Schizosaccharomyces pombe: one gene and its partners. Changing the gene in region 1 together with any one later gene gives a genetic interaction. Each region holds a gene or a part of one and is shown on either strand. Other genes may lie near its edges. The genes, in order: gsf1, mbx2, gsf2 and rad24.

Region 1 (6,068 bases):
AAATTGATGGTTTTCTAATAACTTAGGCACAAAAATGTGCATCGTTGTGGGGTGAGGGAACTTTTGTTTACTAACTTTTATTTTTCATTCTCCCAATTCATGAATAACGTTCACTATCGGGTTCGGCTATGGCGTTGAAGTGCGTTGAATACAGTCTCGTCTGGGAGACTTAAGATTTAGCAACCAAATTAAGCACGCATTTCCTAAGCAAATGTAATTAAATGAAAAGCGTGGATCAACTTTCGTACAATTACAATATGAATTTCATTAAATAACGTATTCTAATTTGATTTTATTTACGCTGTTTATATAAGATTACTTTCGCTACAAAAATAATAGAATAAGAAGAAAATTCACAATAATTGCGGTGATAACTCGATAATGAGGTTTCCCGAAAAAACTTTAGTTAAAAACCTAAATCTAGACACAACTAGTGGGTTTAAGGTTATTCTGAAAACACGTAAACTGCATGGGAATATAACATACTTTACAAATTTAATTCGGAATTATAGCAACAAAATAGTAAAGAATGCATTTCATTGAAAACAAACAAACGAAAAATAAACAAACTCAAAAACAATATGATAATGGATAGTCCATCCATAACGTATAACTGTAGAACGATAAACCTGATTAAACGTCAAACACGTCAAATTTGCTAGCTGAATCAAAGAAATATGTATATTTCATCGAAAAGCCGATAAAAGCATTTTAATGATTATTTTTATAAAAGAAAAGAAGAGTCCAATCACCTTTTTTAACTTCACAATTGATAAAATTTAGCAATCTTCTTCAAAACAAAGCCTGCTTGTGTCTTATTACTAGCTCCAACATAATTTCGTCGAAAAAACATGACGTCTCTGATGCAATAACACTAAACCAGGATTAAGCGTTTAGGAGATGTTAACATTTACTGCTGCTTTATTAATAAAACCTGATTATACAAGCAACAAAGTACACGGCAGCAACCTTCTTAAGACGAAATTAGAAGCTGCGAGATAGTTATTGACAACCAATGGCTAAAGCGGAAGAATTAGTTTGAGCAACTTCTGTTGAAAAGTTCGATATGGTAGCTTGAAGTTGGCGTTCTTCACAGGATTGTACACATTTCTCAACTTTCATTTGTAAATCACCCAAATCAACGACGCCATGAACGGCTAATAGGCACGCTCTCGCGATATGAATGGCGGGTGTTGGGTCAGGATTTTGAAGGATCAATTCAACCCATTGAGCTAATGATACAGGAGAGGTGAAAACGGCGTGAATCATCAGTAGAGCCAGGCGGGGTAAATCAGCCTTATCTATAGGGCAATTTTTCGACCACTTAGTAAACTCGGGCTCAAGGCCCTTTTCATGACAAAGCTTTCGTAAACCAAGGTGGAAAAGAGATTCATCGAGAACAGCAGTAGGTGTAGTTGCAGGGGGCAAATCACATTTGAGTAAAGGCAATGGATTCAAACCCGATGCTAATGGCTTCACAATTCCAGCCAATACCACTTGACGAATAAACATACGGCGCAATAAATAAGTAATAATTTCATCGCTAGGGCTAGTCATTAAAGATGCATCAAACTTGACTACTTGATCAACAGCAAAATTGAAGAGTTGGATATCGCTTTTTGGAATGTATAGTTGGGTAACTGCTAGCAAGACTAAGATGAGAAGACTGTCAGTGGTAGTAATGTTGGTAAGCGCAACACGGGCTTGACGTGCAAAAGCTACGGCATCATCCGTTAGATGACGCTTGGCGCTGGCGAAAGCATAGAGGGCTACACTAATATTGGGATTTCTTAAAGCAAGTTCAGGAACAGTTGATGACCAATATATACTTGAAAATGAAGAATATGGACTTAAAGGGGGAAAGTGACATGCATCCCAAAGACAAAGGGAAGGAGCCACCGATTGTATATAGTAAAGAAATGTGGGATGTGTAGGTTGGCCAGCTAAACCATGTGGCGCTGGCTCTGACAATAAACTGGAAACAGGGATTCTTCGAGATGCCGTAAATGTGCCAGAGGGGCGAGGGAAATGAGTATAACCCTCACATTGCCTTTTCGATTTGATACAGTTGTAGCAAATCGGTTTCCGTTCATCACACTTAATTCTTCGCTTGCGACAGGTCAAGCAACCAGTTTTAGTTCTTTTTCTAGCTTGGCGTTTAACCAACCCACTATTATTAAGAGCATTCCCTGATTGCACGGTTTTACCGGTAACAGGAGCACTATTATTTGAGCCAGTTTTTGGAGGTGAGGGAGGGACCATCTCGATGGGAGAAGGAGATGGAACGGACTGAGGAGCAGTATTTTGAAGGACATGATGCATGCTATAGGCATTCGATGGGTCATGGGGGGAAGGCACTATGGTGTATGAATTATTAGAAGGGGCAGAAGAACTCTGGGGGTAGGAGGGTGGAGTTAGAGCTGCAATGGAATGATATGTTGATGTAGGAGTAAAAGGCGGCAATGAAGCGAGAGAAGGAGAAACTACGGAGGAGGAGAGTGGGGGAAGTCGAGTTAGTATTGAGGGATGCTGAAGATGCAATGAATTTGGAGGTGCTGGCTGTTGGTAAGTGTACGTATAACCGCCTTGCTGGGATTCCATTCCAGGATTTACCTGAGGAGATTGAGAAGAAGGATGATACTCCATTGGAAAAGATTATAAAATAAGAAATTTACGGTTATAAAACAAAAAGGAGAAGCGAAAATACAAATTAGCCAGTCCGCGTAAAAACCTTTTTACAATCAGTAGAAGACAACTAACTGATTGGTAAGAGAAGAAAAGAAAAGAAGGAAAGTCGACAAGTCCTAAAATAAAGGGTGGGATACAAATTCGATTCTAAAAAAATATTTTTATAGAGAAGAGCAACACAATAAAATATTATCAGTGCGTTACCAATTAAGTTCAATCAATTGGGAGTGGAGGATTTGGCAAAATTAAACAGCAAACAAAAATGCTATAATATACGAAGAATACCAAATCAAACGGAATATAAAAATGCAAATCAGAAAAGTGGTCGAGTGAGTCTTACGAAATTTAATGAGGAATGTGAAAGGACGAAAACCACAGAATAAACTAAGTTACCAATCGACCGAAAAAAAATACAAAAATAAGTAAAAGAAAAAACAAGACCAAAATCAACCTAGTAAAGGTGCGAAGAAGAATAGAAAACAAAAACAAAAACAAAAATCACTTCTTCGTGATCAGAGAGAAATAAGCGAGGTAAAATATTATCGATGAACGTAAGCGGGATGAAATCTAAAAAAGACGTTTCGTTCGTTATTTAAAAGAAATAAAAGTATGTCCGGTTGGGGAAAATTTAAAATATAATTCCGAAGAGGAGACGAAGCTGGGGCACAACTATCCAAATCCAACTACCGAAAGCAATGGATCCAAGGTTATCAAAAAGAAAAAGCACCCCAAATTAGGCGGAGTCAGGTCGAGCGAACCGAAACGCAAACTTGACAACGAAGAGGGGGGATCACTACACACCGTCGAGTTTACTAAGAATAGCTAACGCAGCCGGCACTATTTGACAGTATGGAACGGTAGGAAGAGAAAGAATAGGTAGGGTTGTACTGACTGACTGATTCACTGGCAAAAGACTAAGTAAAGAAGAGACAGACAGATAAGAAAGGGAGGTAGGTGATGGATGGTTAATTAAGAGGCCAAAAAGAAAAATAAAAACCTCAACAAAGAAACTTTATAAGGGGGGGATAGAAATTGAAATAGAAAATTAAGTTGGCAACTAAAAATAAAAAGAGCCAAACAAACGACAAACGTACACTACAAAGAAAATGTCTTTCGACAAATGGGATAGCAGTTTGTTGGTGGTTAATGACTTTGCTATGGAAAAAAATAAAAACACAAAGCAACGAACTCAAGATGCAACAAGCAAATTGTCGATGTGTATGTGTGTGTGTTTTTTTCTTTCGTTTAGAAGATGAATAATGGTAAAGCGAGCAATTCGCCTTCAAATCTATAAGATAAGTTGATTATAAATATAGTAGGATTACTTTTCAACAATCTACTATTTATTAATAGTTGCACTGTCTAGGCATCAAGTAAGGGGAGAAATGTGGTGGAAGACAACAGTAATATATTAAAAAAAGTCAACAAGTATCTCGCGGGGCAAAGTCGATGCGAAAAAAAAATTGGCGAGGACCCGCGCTACCTTAAGCACTCAAAGTCAAATAATGACATCATAACCAGTAACCCGAATTCTTTAACAAGCTAATCAAAGGATTCCTAGCCAATAGGAGAAGGCGGTCTTTGGTCACGCAACCGAACGAAACAGGTCCATCCCACATGCACATCTAGACATAAACCTTTTCAGGGCGGCCAGGCTAAAGAGGCAAGGGGAAACTACCCTAACAGAGGTGGCACGTGTTGACGCATCTCCCCCTTCCAAAAGCATTTCTAGTCAGACAGAGAGGAGTGAAGAGCAACAATTCTGCAGTGTAATTATCTACTTGGAAAGTGAGTGGTGTGCGTGTGTGTGCGGTCAAGAGTTATAATTGCCGAACCATAGGTATTCATGCTCATGCTAAACAGCGTCATCATCCATACACACACATACATACATACATACACATAAAAAAAAAAAACATACCCATAGACACAAGCCACAATGGGTGATGAAGAGCAATCAGAATGCATCTCAGCATTTCACTATGCTCGCATTTTCAAATTGTAGAGAAAAAAAATATGTCTTCTTTACATTGGCAAAGAGCAAGGGAAAGGGAATGAATGTCGCACATTTTCCGTTCAAAAGCAAACATCCCTTTGTATAAGCTTGCTCGCTGGACAGGGTGGGTTTTCTCTTTTTTTTTTCGCTTGATTGCTTGATTGACGAATTTTTCCACCATTCACTGCTTTTACCCTCAAGCGGCAAAAAGTCGATACGCAAGCAAACTCTCAACTCTTTTTTCTTTCCCGGTACAAGGGATTGGATTGCATAACACCCTGCCCTTCCTCTTCAACCTACCTCTTAAATCTTAATGGCGGACCGTACGGAATCGGAACGACGGTGCGGCCTCAGGGTGGTGGACTGAAAAAAAGTAAATTTGCGAAATTAAACGACCTGTTTATGGTAAGGGAAGGTGATATTCGGGTAAAGTGGAAGAACAAGAGCAACGTTATTCATGCTAGTCTCGTATCTATGCGAAAGATTGAGATATCTTTTCCCTAAGGGATTTTCCACCCTTCATTCAAGGGGAATAACGCTAACGAAGCTGGTGGGATTCCATTTAGCCGGGACTGGTTTCAACCTAGTTGGCACTTTACGTAACATTTGTGGCATCCACCCATCATCGTGAACTAAACGATAAATAAAGGTTATCTAAAATGAGTAAGCAACTTTTTTCCTTTGTTGATGAGTGGGTAGATGCGACATGAAAGGAAGTGGACTTTTGAAATGGGAAGGGAAGAGAAGAGAAGAGAAATGGGAGAGAAATAATGGATATTTACACTTTTTATCTTATTCCTTTGGATTTGTTGTTATTACAAAAGAAAAATAAAATTTTTATTACCCTCATCTTTTTTTGCTCGTTTCCTTCTTATACAATCTAATCTCATTCGTTGTCTAGCACTCAACAAATAATTACGGTTGTCCGGCTACAACCACAGTAACCCGGTAGAGCCGGTTATCCTAACTAACCTCGTGACAGATCTTCGCTCGTGCGTGCCCACAATGTCTAGCCAGAATGACGAGAATTCAGCAATAAGATAGAAGAAGGTTCACCGTTTGCCTGGCAACAAATGTAAGGTGAGCTAAGTTTTACTATTTTCATAGCTCGGTTACTTATCTAGTCCTGCTCTTAAGGGCCAAATCGCCGAAATTCCTATTTAGCCGTGTCGCCATATCGGTTTGACAGCTCTCAGTATACAACCCGTTTTTCCTCTATGCTTTTTATTAATTTCACGGATTGGATTTATTTTTTTTGTGTGAAAATAGAAACAATGGTCGGCGTTGAAAGGATGTGTCGGCCTTTTCAGCAACACGATCTACTCGCTCTTTCCTTCACCCGTCTCCGTACTGCCATCTCTTGCATAGTAATGGTTTGGTGGTG
Region 2 (4,518 bases), 620 kb from region 1:
AAAATACAAACAGACTTGTCTGTCATAAAATAAGTTAAAATGATTTGTCAAATAGAGGATCAATTCTCAAATATTTGCCAAATCAGTCTCTAATTTATTTGAAGTGAGAAACTTGATTGCCTATGTCAGCATCCCACGATGGTCATTTTTGATACAGCGACTGAGTTTTATGCGGTTGATTCATGTTCCATCGTTTGCATAACATTGGTAATCTTTTATATCTTCTTCATCTTCTTATACTAAAGAATTTCATTTATTTGTTTGGATGTCCTAAGCCACGTATATAATAATATGTTACAGAAACTCAGGTTTCTGTTAACATAATTTCGCATGAAGCCAAATTCCTATTCCACCTTCTTTGAAGAGTGCTACCATGCTCATTCCGCCATATAAAATTAGCTGCTGCATTACTCCCCTGCATCTTACCTTTGAAGCTGGACGGTTATCGCTACGCTACACTTACACACCGACATACTAACAAACACTTAAACATTACTCTGTAAAACTACACGGAAAGTTCGAATTTCTCATGTTATTGTTGAAAACTGTAATTAGGGGTTTGAAAAAGGTTCTGTGAATCGTCAAACGTTCTTGATTAAAAAGGAGAAACCGTGAAAAATCTAGCAAAAAATCGAGTCAAACACACGAAAATAAACCATGTATAACCTTGAAAACGAATGAGAAACGTCTAATTAGAAATTAGCGGCTCCAAAAAAAAATTTGAATGCGAACATAAAGGTTGGTCCGCGAATGTTACATGTTGGTGAATTAATTAATGAAGTGGAAGGAGGTGGTTAAAACAAAATCACGAAAAAACTTAGTCCACTTGAATAGACAAAATGCGTGCCTGAATAAATAAGTGATAAACTGCCCGCAGTTTGCAAATAAATATTTAAACCGAAAATCACCATCTTGAATTCATAACAGGGAGGATCCAAAATACCGAAGATGGAAGTTAACAAAGTTAAACCATTGGCACATCTGAAATGTTCAGGTATTTGTATTTGCTAGCGTCTGAAATCATGCTAGGTTTGTAGTTCACATTGAATCCATAAGCTATCGGTAGGTGTCCATTTTATTGAACAACATTCCAAACTTCAATTATTGCTAGGTCAGTAATTTCGTTCGCGTAATTCAACTATAACGATAAATTGATAGACCTAGTATTAACAATTGTTTACTGGAATGCGATGTAAGTCAAATTAAAAAAATGGGCATCGCACAGCTTGGCAGTAAACTATTGGTGCTTGGATTGCTCCAAATCATATGCAGTTTGAGTAAGAAAACGATTGTAAGGATTTGATCGAGATGTATGCCAACTAAAATTATTACTTGTATACGATTCATTAGATCCAGGGAGGACACATGATGAAGACATTTGAAAGGGAGATTGACTTCTATGATATTCTTTAGTATTTGACATCACTGAGTGAATGTGGACTAATGGAAGCTACGTCTTGGAAGGATGATTCAGCTTCTTGATTCGTTAAGGAAGGAGAGCGATCATATGCCAAAAATGGAGTATTCGCAATGGTATGTTGAGAAGTCTCACAACTGCTACCCGAATACGCAGTAGGCGGAATAGGTGAGCCTTGTTTAACATCAAACATCTCAGGCGTTAGCTGTGGATTTGGATGTTCATAGAGAAAAGGAGGGCAAGCCGGGTTACCAGGAGAGACATTTTTTAAGGTGTATTGATTAGGTGAAGAAAGATAACTTGCTGGAGGCATAAGGACCTTCTGATCATAGGTGGACTGGTCTTGTTGCAGTACATGAGTACCCAGATAAGTTGGAACTTGTTTCAAAGAAGGAGACGTAGCTCTTTGTGGATAGTAGTAAGGAGCGAAGTGCGTTTGCCTACGATGACCAGGAAAGCCGTTATCACTAGGGTACGGAGAATGATGTTGCAATGGAACTGTAGCACCCGGAGACACAGGAGATTGGAAACAATAGGGCGGTGGATAGTTATTGTTATGAAAATGAGGATGAGGTGGATGATGAGGAGGACGAGTATGGGGATGATGATGTTGTGTGGGAGGAAATGGAGGACAAGAACGAACGTGATTAGACGATAAAGGCTCGGGACGACAGTAAGACTGAACTTGAGGATTATAGTCCTGAACAGTCGTTTCCGATGTTGCAGGAGAATCACCAGTGTCGAGTTGGGAGTCTGATAAAGGTTGGTCCTGTGACTTCAAATGCTTATTATTAAGAGGAGTAAATGAACCAGTTGTCGTTTCTGGAGACACGGTACTTGACTCTTCGACAGGCGATGACGAAAAATGAGAACGGTTTTTTAACTCATATATGCTGAGAGTGTTGAGTTGTTGAAGAGTACGTTGATAGTCAGAGGAACAAAAGACGTGCAAACGTCCTTTCCGATCAATGACTGTGACGGCGACTTCACAATCGGCTAGCACAGCGAGTTCATACGCCTTTTTGTAGAGACCTTGTTTTCGTTTGACAAAAGTTACGCTCCTTGAACGATCGTCGGTTATGGGTGCAATGGAGATTTTTTTGCGCCCCATATTAGACGTTGTATATATTTAGTAAGGTTTGACGAGAAAAGAGAAAAAGAGTCGACGAGGTTAACCAAAATTCAGGTATAGGGAGAATGACGAAAACAAACGAGCAAACGAGCGAGCAAACGGGCAAGTATATAAGGAACAAATAGAAAACAGCAGATGGGGTTTATTCTTGGAATTTATGTAACAGTTTTTATCCCTGTCTTCCCTTCTCTGCACCGGATCTCTTGAGGGTAGATTTTTCGCTTGAGAAAACAAGAGCGCAAAGTTCTCCAATTGTGCTCGTAATTGATAGTCGATTAGACGAATCTAAGTTGAGATTTAAAAACGAGGAAGCTATTTTTGTTTTTGTACTCTGGGTTGAAGCGGGCGACGAAACTAAAGATATTAATAGAAAAAATTTTTTTAGTAAACAAGATAGCCGGAACGGGTGGTTTTCAAGTGTTTACAAATGAGAGGAACAAAGACAAATTAAATGACTAGATGTTTTTGTGTGCTATTTTTAAAATAGAAAGAGGAAGAATCAACACTTTGGAGAAATTTTTGCCTTTGAAGCTATATTTTTAACAATTGTCCCCTCCTTTTCAATGTCAGGTTTAAAAATATCTTCTCGCCAAGTTTTATAAATAAATTAATCTGTCTCAACAACTTGAAATTATAAAATTAGGTATTTGTTTGTTGTCTGTGTGCGTTTATAAGTGCGTGTAAATACGTGTTTTTGTACATATATATGTGTATATATATACAGGGATAGCAATAACTAGGAAACCGCAACGTCTATTTAATGCAACCTTCGTAATACACACTGCGTTCTAACTTAGACAAGTATCGACGCCAGCATCGTAACATACCATTGTACATATTTATGCAAAAGAAAATAAATTCCAATAGTGAACGAAAAAAATTTTCTCTTTCCCTCCATAGGCAATTGTTAAGGGATAGGTTTTTCCTGCATAAGTACACCAAAATTAGGGGCTAAATGTCTTCCATTCACGTTTATCCGAAGATGCGTAGCACTTTGCCAACATTACCGATGAATTCTCAATATACAAACGCGTATAAGTGTACATTATGTTCCTCATGTAGACATTCTGAAAATTCACCGTTTCGGCTACTCGGGTAATTTAAACTATTTCTTCATCTCTCTTTTCGAAAAGGGGAGGTCACAAGGCCGAATACTTTTTCATGAAAAAGGTGGGATAGCCTCGATTAAATGAGCCCTAAGTAGGAAAATCCTTTAATTGGAGGAGGAAGATGGACATAATGGAAAGAAGGTTAGAAGGTACCTTTTGAGTATGGTTAAAGTCCACTTGGATTGCAAACCTGACTTTGCAGTAATAGTAGAAAAAAATAGAAAGAAAGCGGGATTAGCAATTATTAGGAAAGAATCATAGTAATCCCATGCACCTAATCCAAGGTTTTGGAAAGGGGATTTTATTTTTAGACGCGATAGTCAGGCAAAGCGTATGGGCCAGCCAAAATACTTGGCAAGGCTAAAGAAAGAATCGAAGAGATAGAAAGATACGAAAATTCGGAATGCGCTGATGATCGCGTTTAGGGATTTTCGTATGTAATCCTTCACTTTTCAACCAGTCAGTCAATTGGAAACGCTGACCCTATTACTGATGCAGTGTACGATACTCAATTCAAAGGGGAAAGGGGGAGGAGGGCGTGAAGGAACAATATTACGAGTGTTGTCTCCGCTCCTTGACTATACTTAGACACACAAGTCCGAAAATAGACTCGCTCTGATTTTGCTTTTCGTAACTTGCTCTATTAATAAATGTATCCGGTAAGAATGGGGTACAATACGAATACAGTACATTGGGAAAAAATAACCAGAGAGGTAGCTTATGAGTAATTTGATTTCGCAATGAATCGACCGTTACGACCTGCTTATACTTTAGTATAGCTAGACGAAGTAGTTTGGATTAGACTTTAGGAGTAGTCCTATCTGGCGACTGACATACTTTCGTTGCGATATAGTTTACGT
Region 3 (7,971 bases), on another chromosome or scaffold:
GAATTAAAAAAGTGGAAAAAATAATATAGAAATAGAATTAACAAGTGGGACACAAGTATCAAAGTAAAAAATAAAATATAAATAGAAATAAAGAATCAAATTACCATCTTGTATATCTTCTTCTCTTTAATTATGCTTAACGACGACCTCGCTAATCGTAGAAACCTCTTGTTTTGAAAAGGTGAATAACGAAGCGGAATGGAGTCACAATGTTCTCCTTCTTCATATGATGCCATAAATAAACAAGGAAGCGAAATTTAAAAGCCGCAATTGGACAATGTGTTTGACATCATCCTTCCACTCAACGAACAGATAACATCATGTCATGACGTATAAGCTTTAGTGTTTTTGTATTTGAGAAACAAACATTGGTCAAGGATTACCGAAAATTTAAAGGGTTGATTTACCGAAATCATGACGTATTCCATTCAATTTCAGCACGAGGAAGAGGTAAAGAACATCAAGTAACGGAGACCCTATGTAAATAAAGAAAGCATGGAAGAACAAATAAAGGTAAGGAACAATAAAATGTCTAAGAAAAAAAAGAAACAAATACGACTTCTCTTCGAAAAAAAACAACAACAACAACAATTAACGATTGCTCTTTTCTTTACATATATATATTTTTTTATCGTAATTTGATTGCCTTGTTTTCCATGGGAACCCGAGTGTATGAATATTGGTGAATTCGTATGTACACATAAAACTTTACTGTGTGAAAACAAATAATGAATTAAAAAAAAAGAAAAGAAAAGCATCTGATTCAGCCACCTCTTTTTTATCTAATTTCCCTTCTACAGTTTATGAAAATTGGATGCATAATCGAAATTGCCCTCTTGCCTTGTCGGACCGATGGTTATTTACTAATAGTATATAAGCCTACCCCTTTTGCTTAACGAAGCATTTTACGAGTCGTAAAGTTGAAATTAGCGAAAAGTTTCGCAGCACATAAATTGACAATTCCACAGAAAAAAAAAATGTTTGAAAGAGAGAGAGTGTGTGTGATTCAGGATTCTCTTTTTTTATTCTTTTTTATTTTTGGGGGTAAGGTATTCTACAATACACGAAGAAGACTTTTTTTAAAATGTCCATCTAAAAATAGAGAAACTTAGAAGACAATCGAAGAAAATAAGATCCCCTTTGATCACTGAATGCACTACACTACACTGCACTAATTCCGTTTATGAATGCCGTTTAGTACGGCAGGAGCGGGTTACTGCTAAAAATAAATAACGACGGCTACTAAGAATAGAAAGTAAAGTGGGTGTGCTATCCGATGTTGGTTATTTACAGAAATAGACGAGAAACACAAGAAGCTGCTTACAAACAAAAAGTATTTGTTGTGTGAATGGTGGATGAAAATAGAAAGGTTCTTGTTTTAACTTCTTCTCATATCTTTTAAACGAATAATTAATGAGTGTTTCTTTATTCGTGAGTCTATATTCTCGGGTTTCCTTCTCAAACTTTCATCCAAAATAGCTAGTTCTATAAAAATAACCATTTCAACATGTGCCTAGGCATTGCCGGCTTTACCATCCATGATGGCTAAGCCAAACTAGCTTTAATCACAACCAGAGCAAAAAGTACACACTGACCGAAAATAGTACATACTGACCTGACTGTTTAGTGAAGTAGAGCGTAGCATGTACACAGTAGCAAAAAGGATATAGTACGTTGGCTTTGACGTTTGGAAAAGAAGCAAAAGAATTCATTTCATTCTAAAAAGATTTCCATATATTTTATGTAATTTTTCTCGTAATTATCAAGGCTTTCGTTCATTTCTTGTCCTTGTTTTTCCGATCCAATTTGCTTAAAAAAAAAAAAAAAAAAAAAAAAACTCATTCCGATTCACTATATTACTTAAGAATGCAGTATATATAATTAGCGTAGAGTAATGAGAGTTGCAAAAATTACCACCATTCTACGGGACCAGATTGACAACACCTGGTGAGCGCCGCCATGCATTCTGCCTCCAAGGCAAGCTGGACTATAAGCCGGCAGAGGTTTGACATACTTGTAATTTTATGAATTGGACATATAGAAGTAAATGCAAGTATTTTTATCCGAGGAGAACGCTAGTTGGAGGGAGAAGATGAAACAATAGTGGTGATAACAAAAAAAACAAAAACAATTGCCAAAAATTGTAGGAAAAGAAATTGGAAAAGGACGCGTAAAAAGTCATTCAAATCAGTAGAAACTTTCCAATGCGCGAATGGACATCCATCCATAATATTGAAAGGTTATTTTTCGTTTACAATCGTCGCAATTCAAATAGACGCGAAAAAATAGCAACTGAACGCTGCCACCTTAAAATTGAACTAAAAAATTTCAATTATAAATGCTTTGATCACTAAGCAAACATTGAAAATCTAACGACTTAGACGTTGCATAACTAATGAATTGACATTGCATGAACTACTACTACATCCTTCTAAACACCGCCTTTCTCGCTACCACAACCCCATCTCTACTACACTTCCACTCACTTACTCATCATTCTTCATAGTCGCACTTTTTCATTTCTCTCCTGTCATCTCCACAAATTAAATCTTAATCTCTTGTTTCACTAGCTTCTTAATTGCAATTAAAATTGCGCTTGCTACATCCTCTACACTACTCCTGTAATCAGCCTTCTTTTCTTCTCTTTCTTTAGCATACTCGGTCTCGTTATTCCATATATCGAAATTTTCTTCTTCGCTCGACCTCGATATTCTTAGGAACCAGCACAGAATGCAAAAGTGGATCCTTACCTCCATGTTCCCGAGATAGAGATTATTCCCTAGCCGAAATTAGAATTTGCGAAGAGGTTTTATGTTATCGCGGGGTCTTCCACATAGGTGACAACGATTTTTTAAATTCGAATTCAAAATGTTTCTCTAAAAAAAGAAAAACTTGCAAAAACGGGGAACATTTGAGAAAAGGGTCATCGGGGTACAGAGAGAGGGGTATAGAAAAAGTCGCAAAGGAAAAATTCCGTAAATATTCATTGCTAAAATTTCACACAGATTGGTTTGGGTGTAGTTATTTATAAATATGGCCGCATCTACTTAAGAAAGTTATTTCGCTCCTACATTGAAGGCGAGTGGTCGAGTGTTCGTCAATCAGTCATCAATTGAACATCCAAAACATTCTTAACGAGATTAAGATCGTTGACTTTCTTCTATAAAAGCAAAGCATCGAGAAAGATTCGAACATTGCAAAAAAAAAGGATTACCTATTCCATATACACCATCTGTCTCTCTCTTTTTGTTGAGGTTGCTAGAGTTTGGTTATTGGAACTTTCTTTTTTTTGTTGTATCATCATTTGTTTCCTTCCTTCCATCTTTATTTTGGGAAAGCGACTTGATCTCTCTTCGCTGCACGAATCTGTGATAACAATATCTTCACTCATTCTTTTCGCCAGCATCCAATTTTGTTTTTTTTTTGAGAAACAAATCTGCTCTTGTACATATTCTACATTCTTTTGAATTACAAGTGGGTATTTTACATTCATTTGAATAATTTAAAATAAATCTGGCTAGCATTTATTTTTTAATATTCTCCCCTTTTTTCTTTACATCCCCCATTCTATCGTCTAGGATTTCGGGTTGAAATTGGGTTTTAAGTTGTCCTACATTTACACAAAATAAACACTGGGTAATTTCGTGTTTGGGTTGGTTTGGTAATACAGCTTGCGAATCTCCTTTCATCCAGTTATTTTTTATTTATATATATTATTTCTTTCATTAATCTTTTCGCAATTTTGCATTCATTTAAACCCTCTTTTCTTCATTCTCTGTTGAAACTACGAGCTTTATTCATTTGGGATTCACTATTTTTCTAATTGAATTTCTATCATATTATCAATAAACGCGCTCTGCACACCAATCGTCAAGCATTGGATTTAATTTTGTTTTTGATAATATTTAATTTTTTTATTCGTTTGGTTAAATTATCTTAATAATTTTGTTTTTTTCTAATTCACTTACCCGTTTTTGAATATATCAACAATGTCTGTTAGAAGGTTTTTATCCACATCTGCTCGGGCATTACTTTTCACGGCTGCTCTTCTTCCCTCCTTGACTTCTGGTCTACCTTCTGGAAATGTCAGGATTTTGCAAAAGGGAATGGAACCTGAAGATTACCTTTCCTCTGCATCACAAAATGAAGTGCCTCACGATATTTCACTTCCAAAGACCGAGCTTGCGGATCCAAATTTCCTAGTTGACGATATGCCAACCTTACTTGGCAGAGACGCTGCTGTTGATCCTAGCATGTTTACTAGCACCTTCACAGTAAAAAATGGAAATGATGCTAACTACATTACTGCTAGTCCCGTTAGCAACGACGCTTCCATGACTGCTATTAGCACTTTTACCTCAGGGAAAGAAGCTTCTTATGCAATTCAAGCAAGCCCATCTACCTTTCTTCCTGATTCGACTACCACTTCAGGTTCACAAGTTTCAAATGCTGTTGAAGCGAGCTCAACTTTTGTAGCTGATACGACTAGCACCTCATGCAACCCAGCAACGGTTTTAATTGTAACCACATCTGGTTCAACAAGTACTAGTTGTCCCCCTCCAACAACAATTCTTATTGTTACAGTCCCTACCACAACCACAACAACTACTGTTGGATATCCTGGATCCGTCACTACTACCTTGACTGGAACTCCTAGCAATGGTACTGTTATTGATACTGTTGAGGTTCCCACTACTACTAACTATGGTTACACCACTATTACCACTGGTTATACTGGATCCACTACTCTTACCACTACTGTTCCTCACAGTGGTAATGAGACTGGACCTACTACAGTTTATGTGGAGACTCCTTATCCCACAACTGTCACTACCACCACTACTGTTGGATATCCTGGATCCGTCACTACTACTTTGACTGGAGCTCCTAGCAATGGTACTGTTATTGATACTGTTGAGGTTCCCACTACTACTAACTATGGTTACACCACTGTTACCACTGGTTATACTGGATCCACTACTCTTACCACTACTGTTCCTCACAGTGGTAATGAGACTGGACCTACTACAGTTTATGTGGAGACTCCTTATCCCACAACTGTCACTACCACCACTACTGTTGGATATCCTGGATCCGTCACTACTACTTTGACTGGAGCTCCTAGCAATGGTACTGTTATTGATACTGTTGAGGTTCCCACTACTACTAACTATGGTTACACCACTGTTACCACTGGTTATACTGGATCCACTACTCTTACCACTACTGTTCCTCACAGTGGTAATGAGACTGGACCTACTACAGTTTATGTGGAGACTCCTTATCCCACAACTGTCACTACCACCACTACTGTTGGATATCCTGGATCCGTCACTACTACTTTGACTGGAGCTCCTAGCAATGGTACTGTTATTGATACTGTTGAGATTCCCACTACTACTAACTATGGTTACACCACTATTACCACTGGTTATACTGGATCCACTACTCTTACCACTACTGTTCCTCACAGTGGTAATGAGACTGGACCTACTACAGTTTATGTGGAGACTCCTTATCCCACAACTGTCACTACCACCACTACTGTTGGATATCCTGGATCCGTCACTACTACTTTGACTGGAGCTCCTAGCAATGGTACTGTTATTGATACTGTTGAGGTTCCCACTACTACTAACTATGGTTACACCACTATTACCACTGGTTATACTGGATCCACTACTCTTACCACTACTGTTCCTCACAGTGGTAATGAGACTGGACCTACTACAGTTTATGTGGAGACTCCTTATCCCACAACTGTCACTACCACCACTACTGTTGGATATCCTGGATCCGTCACTACTACTTTGACTGGAGCTCCTAGCAATGGTACTGTTATTGATACTGTTGAGGTTCCCACTACTACTAACTATGGTTACACCACTGTTACCACTGGTTATACTGGATCCACTACTCTTACCACTACTGTTCCTCACAGTGGTAATGAGACTGGACCTACTACAGTTTATGTGGAGACTCCTTATCCCACAACTGTCACTACCACCACTACTGTTGGATATTCTGGTTCGGTAACTACTACTTTGACTGGTAGCGGTAGCAATAGCATTGTTACTGAAACTGTTGATGTCCCTACCACTACTAGTGTTAATTATGGTTATACTACTATTACGACTGGCTGGACTGGATCAACCACGCTTACTTCTATTGTTACTCACAGTGGAAGTGAGACTGGTCCCACTACAGTTTATATCGAAACTCCCAGTGTTTCGGCTACTACTACCACTACTACCATTGGATATTCCGGATCTCTTACAACTACATTGACCGGTTCCTCTGGCCCTGTTGTTACCAACACAGTTGAGATTCCTTATGGAAACTCTTCGTATATCATTCCTACAACCATTGTTACTGGCACCGTTACTACTGTGACAACTGGTTATACTGGTACTGAGACTTCTACTGTTACAGTTATTCCTACTGGAACCACTGGAACCACTACAGTTGTTATTCAAACGCCTACCACAGTGACTGCAACTGAAACCGACATTGTTACTGTTACAACTGGTTACACTGGAACTGAGACATCTACTGTCACAGTTACTCCTACTGGAACCTCTACCGGAACCACTACAGTTGTTATTCAAACGCCTACCACAGTGACTGCAACTGAAACCGACATTGTTACTGTTACAACTGGTTACACTGGAACTGAGACATCTACTGTCACAGTTACTCCTACTGGAACCTCCACTGGAACCACTACAGTTGTTATTCAAACACCTACCACAGTGACTGCGACTGAAACCGACATTGTTACTGTTACAACTGGTTACACTGGAACCGAGACATCTACTGTCACAGTTACTCCTACTGGAACCTCCACTGGAACCACTACAGTTGTTATTCAAACACCTACCACAGTGACTGCGACTGAAACCGACATTGTTACTGTTACAACTGGTTACACTGGAACCGAGACATCTACTGTCACAGTTACTCCTACTGGAACCTCCACTGGAACCACTACAGTTGTTATTCAAACACCTACCACAGTGACTGCGACTGAAACCGACATTGTTACTGTTACAACTGGTTACACTGGAACCGAGACATCTACTGTCACAGTTACTCCTACTGGAACCTCCACTGGAACCACTACAGTTGTTATTCAAACACCTACCACAGTGACTGCGACTGAAACCGACATTGTTACTGTTACAACTGGTTACACTGGAACCGAGACATCTACTGTCACAGTTACTCCTACTGGAACCTCCACTGGAACCACTACAGTTGTTATTCAAACACCTACCACAGTGACTGCGACTGAAACCGACATTGTTACTGTTACAACTGGTTACACTGGAACCGAGACATCTACTGTCACAGTTACTCCTACTGGAACTGCTACTGGAACCACTACGGTTGTCATTAATACTCCTACAACTACTGGTTCTGAGGTCCTTCCCACTACTGGTGCTACTGGAACTGCTGGTACTGAGACTCAACTCACTACTGCTACCGAGGTTCAACCTACTACTGGTGCTACTGGCACTGCTGGTACTGAGACTCAAGTCACTACTGGTACTGAAACCCAAGCTACTACTGCTACTGAGACTCAAGCTACTACTGCCACTGAGGTTCAAACTACTACTGGTGCTACTGGAACTGCTGGTACCGAGACTCAAGCTACTACTGCTACTGAGGTTCAACCTACTACTGGTGCTACTGGAACTGCTGGTACTGAGACTCAAGTCACTACTGCTACCGAGGTTCAACCTACTACTGGTGCTACTGGCACTGCTGGTACTGAGACTCAAGTCACTACTGGTACTGAAACCCAAGCTACTACTGCTACTGAGACTCAAGCTACTACTGCCACTGAGGTTCAAACTACTACTGGTGCTACTGGAACTGCTGGTACCGAGACTCAAGCTACTACTGCTACTGAGGTTCAACCTACTACTGGTGCTACTGGAACTGCTGGTACTGAGACTCAAGTCACTA
Region 4 (3,741 bases), on another chromosome or scaffold:
AAGCAAGCAGGCGTTTGTACGGTGCAAGGAGTCCATATGTCCACAAAGAGATTTCTCCTTAAAATCAAAGGTTTCAGCGAAGCCAAAGTGGATAAACTGAAGGAAGCGGCATCAAAAATGTGCCCAGCAAACTTTTCCACTGCGATGGAAATCAGTCAAAATCGTAAAAAAGTATGGAGTATTTCGACAGGATCCGAGGCACTCAATGGCATCCTTGGAGGGGGAATTCAGTCGATGAGTATTACAGAAGTATTTGGAGAGTTTCGTTGTGGTAAAACACAAATGTCGCATACATTGTGTGTCACTGCCCAGCTTCCTCGAGATATGGGCGGGGCCGAAGGAAAAGTAGCATTCATAGATACAGAAGGAACATTTCGACCTGATCGAATCAAAGCCATTGCAGAACGATTTGGTGTAGACGCCGATCAGGCTATGGAGAATATCATTGTCAGTAGAGCATACAACTCTGAGCAACAAATGGAATACATCACAAAATTAGGAACCATTTTTGCTGAAGATGGCCAATACCGTTTGTTAATTGTCGATTCCATCATGGCACTATTTCGGGTTGACTATTCGGGTCGCGGGGAATTATCAGAAAGGCAACAAAAATTAAACATTATGCTTGCTAGATTAAATCATATTTCTGAAGAGTTTAACGTAGCGGTCTTTGTCACAAATCAGGTTCAAGCAGACCCCGGAGCAGCAATGATGTTTGCGTCCAACGATCGAAAACCTGTAGGAGGCCATGTCATGGCTCACGCAAGCGCGACCCGTCTGCTGTTAAGAAAAGGTCGAGGTGAGGAACGTGTCGCAAAATTGAATGATTCTCCAGATATGCCTGAAGCCGAGTGCAGTTATGTGATTACACCTGGTGGCATAGCAGACGTTTCCTAATTGATTTTCTACCTATTCCAAAAAAAAAACAAAAAAAGAAGAGAAATAAGAAAAAAGATCAGCCAAGTTCAGCAATGCCTTTTATCATTGCGTTTGTGCTTATGTTTTAACAAAATTGAGTGCACTGATTACGTTAATGTTAACATTTTACTGCTGCAATACTATATCTTTAATACAATAATCAGTTCACTATTGGTCTCTAAAATGGCTTTAAAGAAAAAGTTTGGATGAGAAGCTCGCGCCATTTTAGATAACCAAACCAAGATTTTCTTAACTACACATTTATCAAATAGTTGCGAATGGCGCAAACCCCCAAAAGCAACTTATTCTTACGAGTCAACAAATTTGTTTAAGTAGTGTCATGTGAAGTTGCTATCGCATGTATCAATTAACAAAAGCTGAGCGCCTTTCATTGCAATCGTTGGACAATCTGACTTCCACCAAACAATTATATCGTGTGAGACAGAATTCGTCATCACCTTTGTTCCAGTTTATTTCCCGATTCTATGAAGGCCTGCAGATTTGCACGTGTTCAGGCACCTTCCTTTCGATGTTTACCTTTTGCGTCAATATGACAAAAGGGGTACAGTTTCTCTTGATCCGTTGCCAAGGATGTGTTTACCCCGGGGCTTTGTCGCAACAAACGAGAACAGTCCAGCAGCCAGGTTTTTCGATAACCTTCTGTCGTGCCGATAAATTACGATGCGCAGTCGCTAAATTCGACATACAGAAGCACAGGGCACGTTTACGCAGTGCTACGAAATTTTACTGTGGGAGCAGTCCTTTTTCTACCATACGACGTTCCGCAACCTTTCCAGTGCCAACCACCACGATATACTCACATTTTCGAACGTTTGGTAAAAATGTCTACTACTTCTCGTGAAGATGCTGTTTATTTAGCCAAACTTGCTGAGCAAGCCGAGCGCTATGAAGGTATGTGCTTTTATAAGGTTTAGAGACGCGTAGAGCAGAGATATATTTGGTGTTATTTCTGCAAGAACAAAATTACACACATCCAAGGTTCTATCGGCGGAAGCTTTTGAGTAAGCGGGCTTCCTGTAAAACATCGATTGCATTTATTTTTGACATAGTTGTGATCAGAGGCTTAGTTGGTAGAATGTTTGTGTTTGTGTGTTGTATGGTGGTTGTCAAATGAACTGTGCATTGGCTATGGTGATGTTGAAAAGGTGTTTTAGTATTTCAACTTGTTTCCTAACTTTATTTCTAATTGTTTTTACTCCGAGAAGAAATTTTTTTGTTCATACAGACATACGGAAAATACATCATGCTGCGCATCTCGAAAGTCGAAATCCTTATGTACTTATCACTAATATATCCAGGCATGGTTGAAAACATGAAAAGCGTTGCCTCCACTGATCAAGAATTGACCGTCGAAGAGCGTAACTTGCTCTCTGTTGCTTATAAGAATGTAATTGGAGCTCGCCGGGCGTCTTGGCGTATCGTTTCCTCCATCGAGCAAAAGGAGGAGAGCAAAGGCAATACTGCTCAAGTTGAATTAATTAAGGAATATCGTCAAAAGATTGAACAAGAACTTGACACTATTTGCCAAGATATCTTGACCGTTCTTGAGAAGCACCTTATCCCTAATGCTGCCTCTGCCGAATCCAAGGTTTTCTACTACAAGATGAAGGGTGACTACTATCGTTACCTTGCTGAGTTTGCCGTTGGTGAGAAGCGCCAACACTCCGCTGATCAATCTCTTGAAGGTTACAAGGCCGCTTCTGAAATTGCTACCGCCGAACTTGCACCTACTCATCCTATCCGCTTAGGTCTTGCTCTTAATTTCTCCGTTTTCTACTATGAGATCTTGAACTCCCCCGACCGTGCTTGCTACTTAGCCAAGCAAGCCTTTGATGAAGCTATCTCCGAGTTGGACAGCCTTTCCGAGGAATCCTACAAAGATTCTACTTTAATCATGCAATTGTTGCGTGACAACCTTACCTTATGGACTTCTGATGCTGAATACAGTGCCGCCGCTGCTGGTGGTAACACCGAGGGAGCTCAAGAAAACGCTCCTTCCAATGCTCCAGAAGGCGAAGCTGAGCCCAAGGCGGACGCATAGATAGCTCGTTGCTCATGATTGATGCCATACTTTCACTACTATGAACCAATTTTAAAAAATTTATTTGTCTAAGAGTTCTTTTTCGTTTAGATCTTGTGTACTACACGATGGAATAGTCTCATTACATTCTCGTATATTTTCTTCTAATTTTTTTTTCTTTTTGTCTTTCTTTAAATTTCTTTTTTTTTTACAGTCGTAGTATATGTGTGTATTTGGTAGCTGCTGTAAAAAATACAGTAGTTGGACGACATTTTAATTTCGAGTACACAACCCGTAATGATTTGCTTGGCTAAGTGGGTGTTGAGTTAATCAAGCAATAGTCTAGATAGATGTGAGTTTCAAACTGAAGAGTTGGTAGATTGAGAATGTTTAAGCCTATCGGATTGAATTTGAGCTTTTTGACTGATTTGCACCGAATTGCTTAATATTCCTTGCATACGACCGATGTACCACTTTTTACACAAAGCTTAAAAATTTGTATGTTCTAGTGATACTCAAACATTATTAAATATAAAAGCTTTAAGTTTGCATATAAAACGCACAGTAAACATTTGAATCGATGCCTGTGAGACCATGCATACATTTCACGCCTCCAGAAGGATTTATGAATGATCCCAATGGTCTGGTTTACAGTAATGGAAAATGGCATTTGTTTTTTCAATGGAATCCAACAGGAAACCAAGCCGGTAATCAACATTGGGGCCATGCAGTGAGTAAAAACCTGTATAAATGGAAATTACTACCTACCGCCCTTGCACCTG

The links.
Region 2: of gsf1 (region 1) and mbx2, changing one suppresses a phenotype caused by changing the other (phenotypic suppression), as found in Schizosaccharomyces pombe (2 studies listed by BioGRID).
Region 3: of gsf1 (region 1) and gsf2, changing one suppresses a phenotype caused by changing the other (phenotypic suppression), as found in Schizosaccharomyces pombe (2 studies listed by BioGRID).
Region 4: of gsf1 (region 1) and rad24, extra expression of one rescues a mutant of the other (dosage rescue), as found in Schizosaccharomyces pombe (one study listed by BioGRID).

Annotation. Positions count from the first base shown.
Region 1 is NC_003423.3:3,009,512-3,015,579, reverse strand, and holds gsf1 (protein gsf1), read right to left. Parts: upstream 4,069-6,068; 5' UTR 2,647-4,068; coding exon 1,003-2,646; 3' UTR 501-1,002; downstream 1-500. Other genes in the region: slm9 (histone H3.3-H4 chaperone, HIR complex WD repeat subunit Hip2), read right to left, coding at 1-42.
Region 2 is NC_003423.3:3,624,649-3,629,166, reverse strand, and holds mbx2 (MADS-box transcription factor), read right to left. Parts: upstream 2,529-4,518; coding exon 1,410-2,528; 3' UTR 509-1,409; downstream 1-508. UniProt on the Schizosaccharomyces pombe protein: Acts in transcription regulation. May bind to a MEF2-like typee II promoter sequence.
Region 3 is NC_003421.2:959,991-967,961, reverse strand, and holds the start of gsf2 (protein Gsf2), read left to right. Parts: upstream 1-1,949; 5' UTR 1,950-3,989; coding exon 3,990-7,971. UniProt on the Schizosaccharomyces pombe protein: Galactose-specific adhesion protein essential for non-sexual flocculation and filamentous growth. Required for adhesion and filamentous growth through recognition of galactose residues on cell surface glycoconjugates. Induces flocculation when overexpressed.
Region 4 is NC_003424.3:3,382,508-3,386,248, forward strand, and holds rad24 (14-3-3 protein Rad24), read left to right. Parts: upstream 1-1,719; 5' UTR 1,720-1,760; coding exon 1,761-1,830; exon of another isoform or gene 1,831-2,029; intron 2,030-2,237; coding exon 2,238-2,980; 3' UTR 2,981-3,178; downstream 3,179-3,741. Other genes in the region: RecA family ATPase Dmc1, read left to right, coding at 1-897; inv2 (beta-fructofuranosidase), read left to right, coding at 3,540-3,741. UniProt on the Schizosaccharomyces pombe protein: Acts in cell cycle and stress checkpoint signaling by sequestering signal transducers regulated by the checkpoints. Required for the DNA damage checkpoint that ensures that DNA damage is repaired before mitosis is attempted.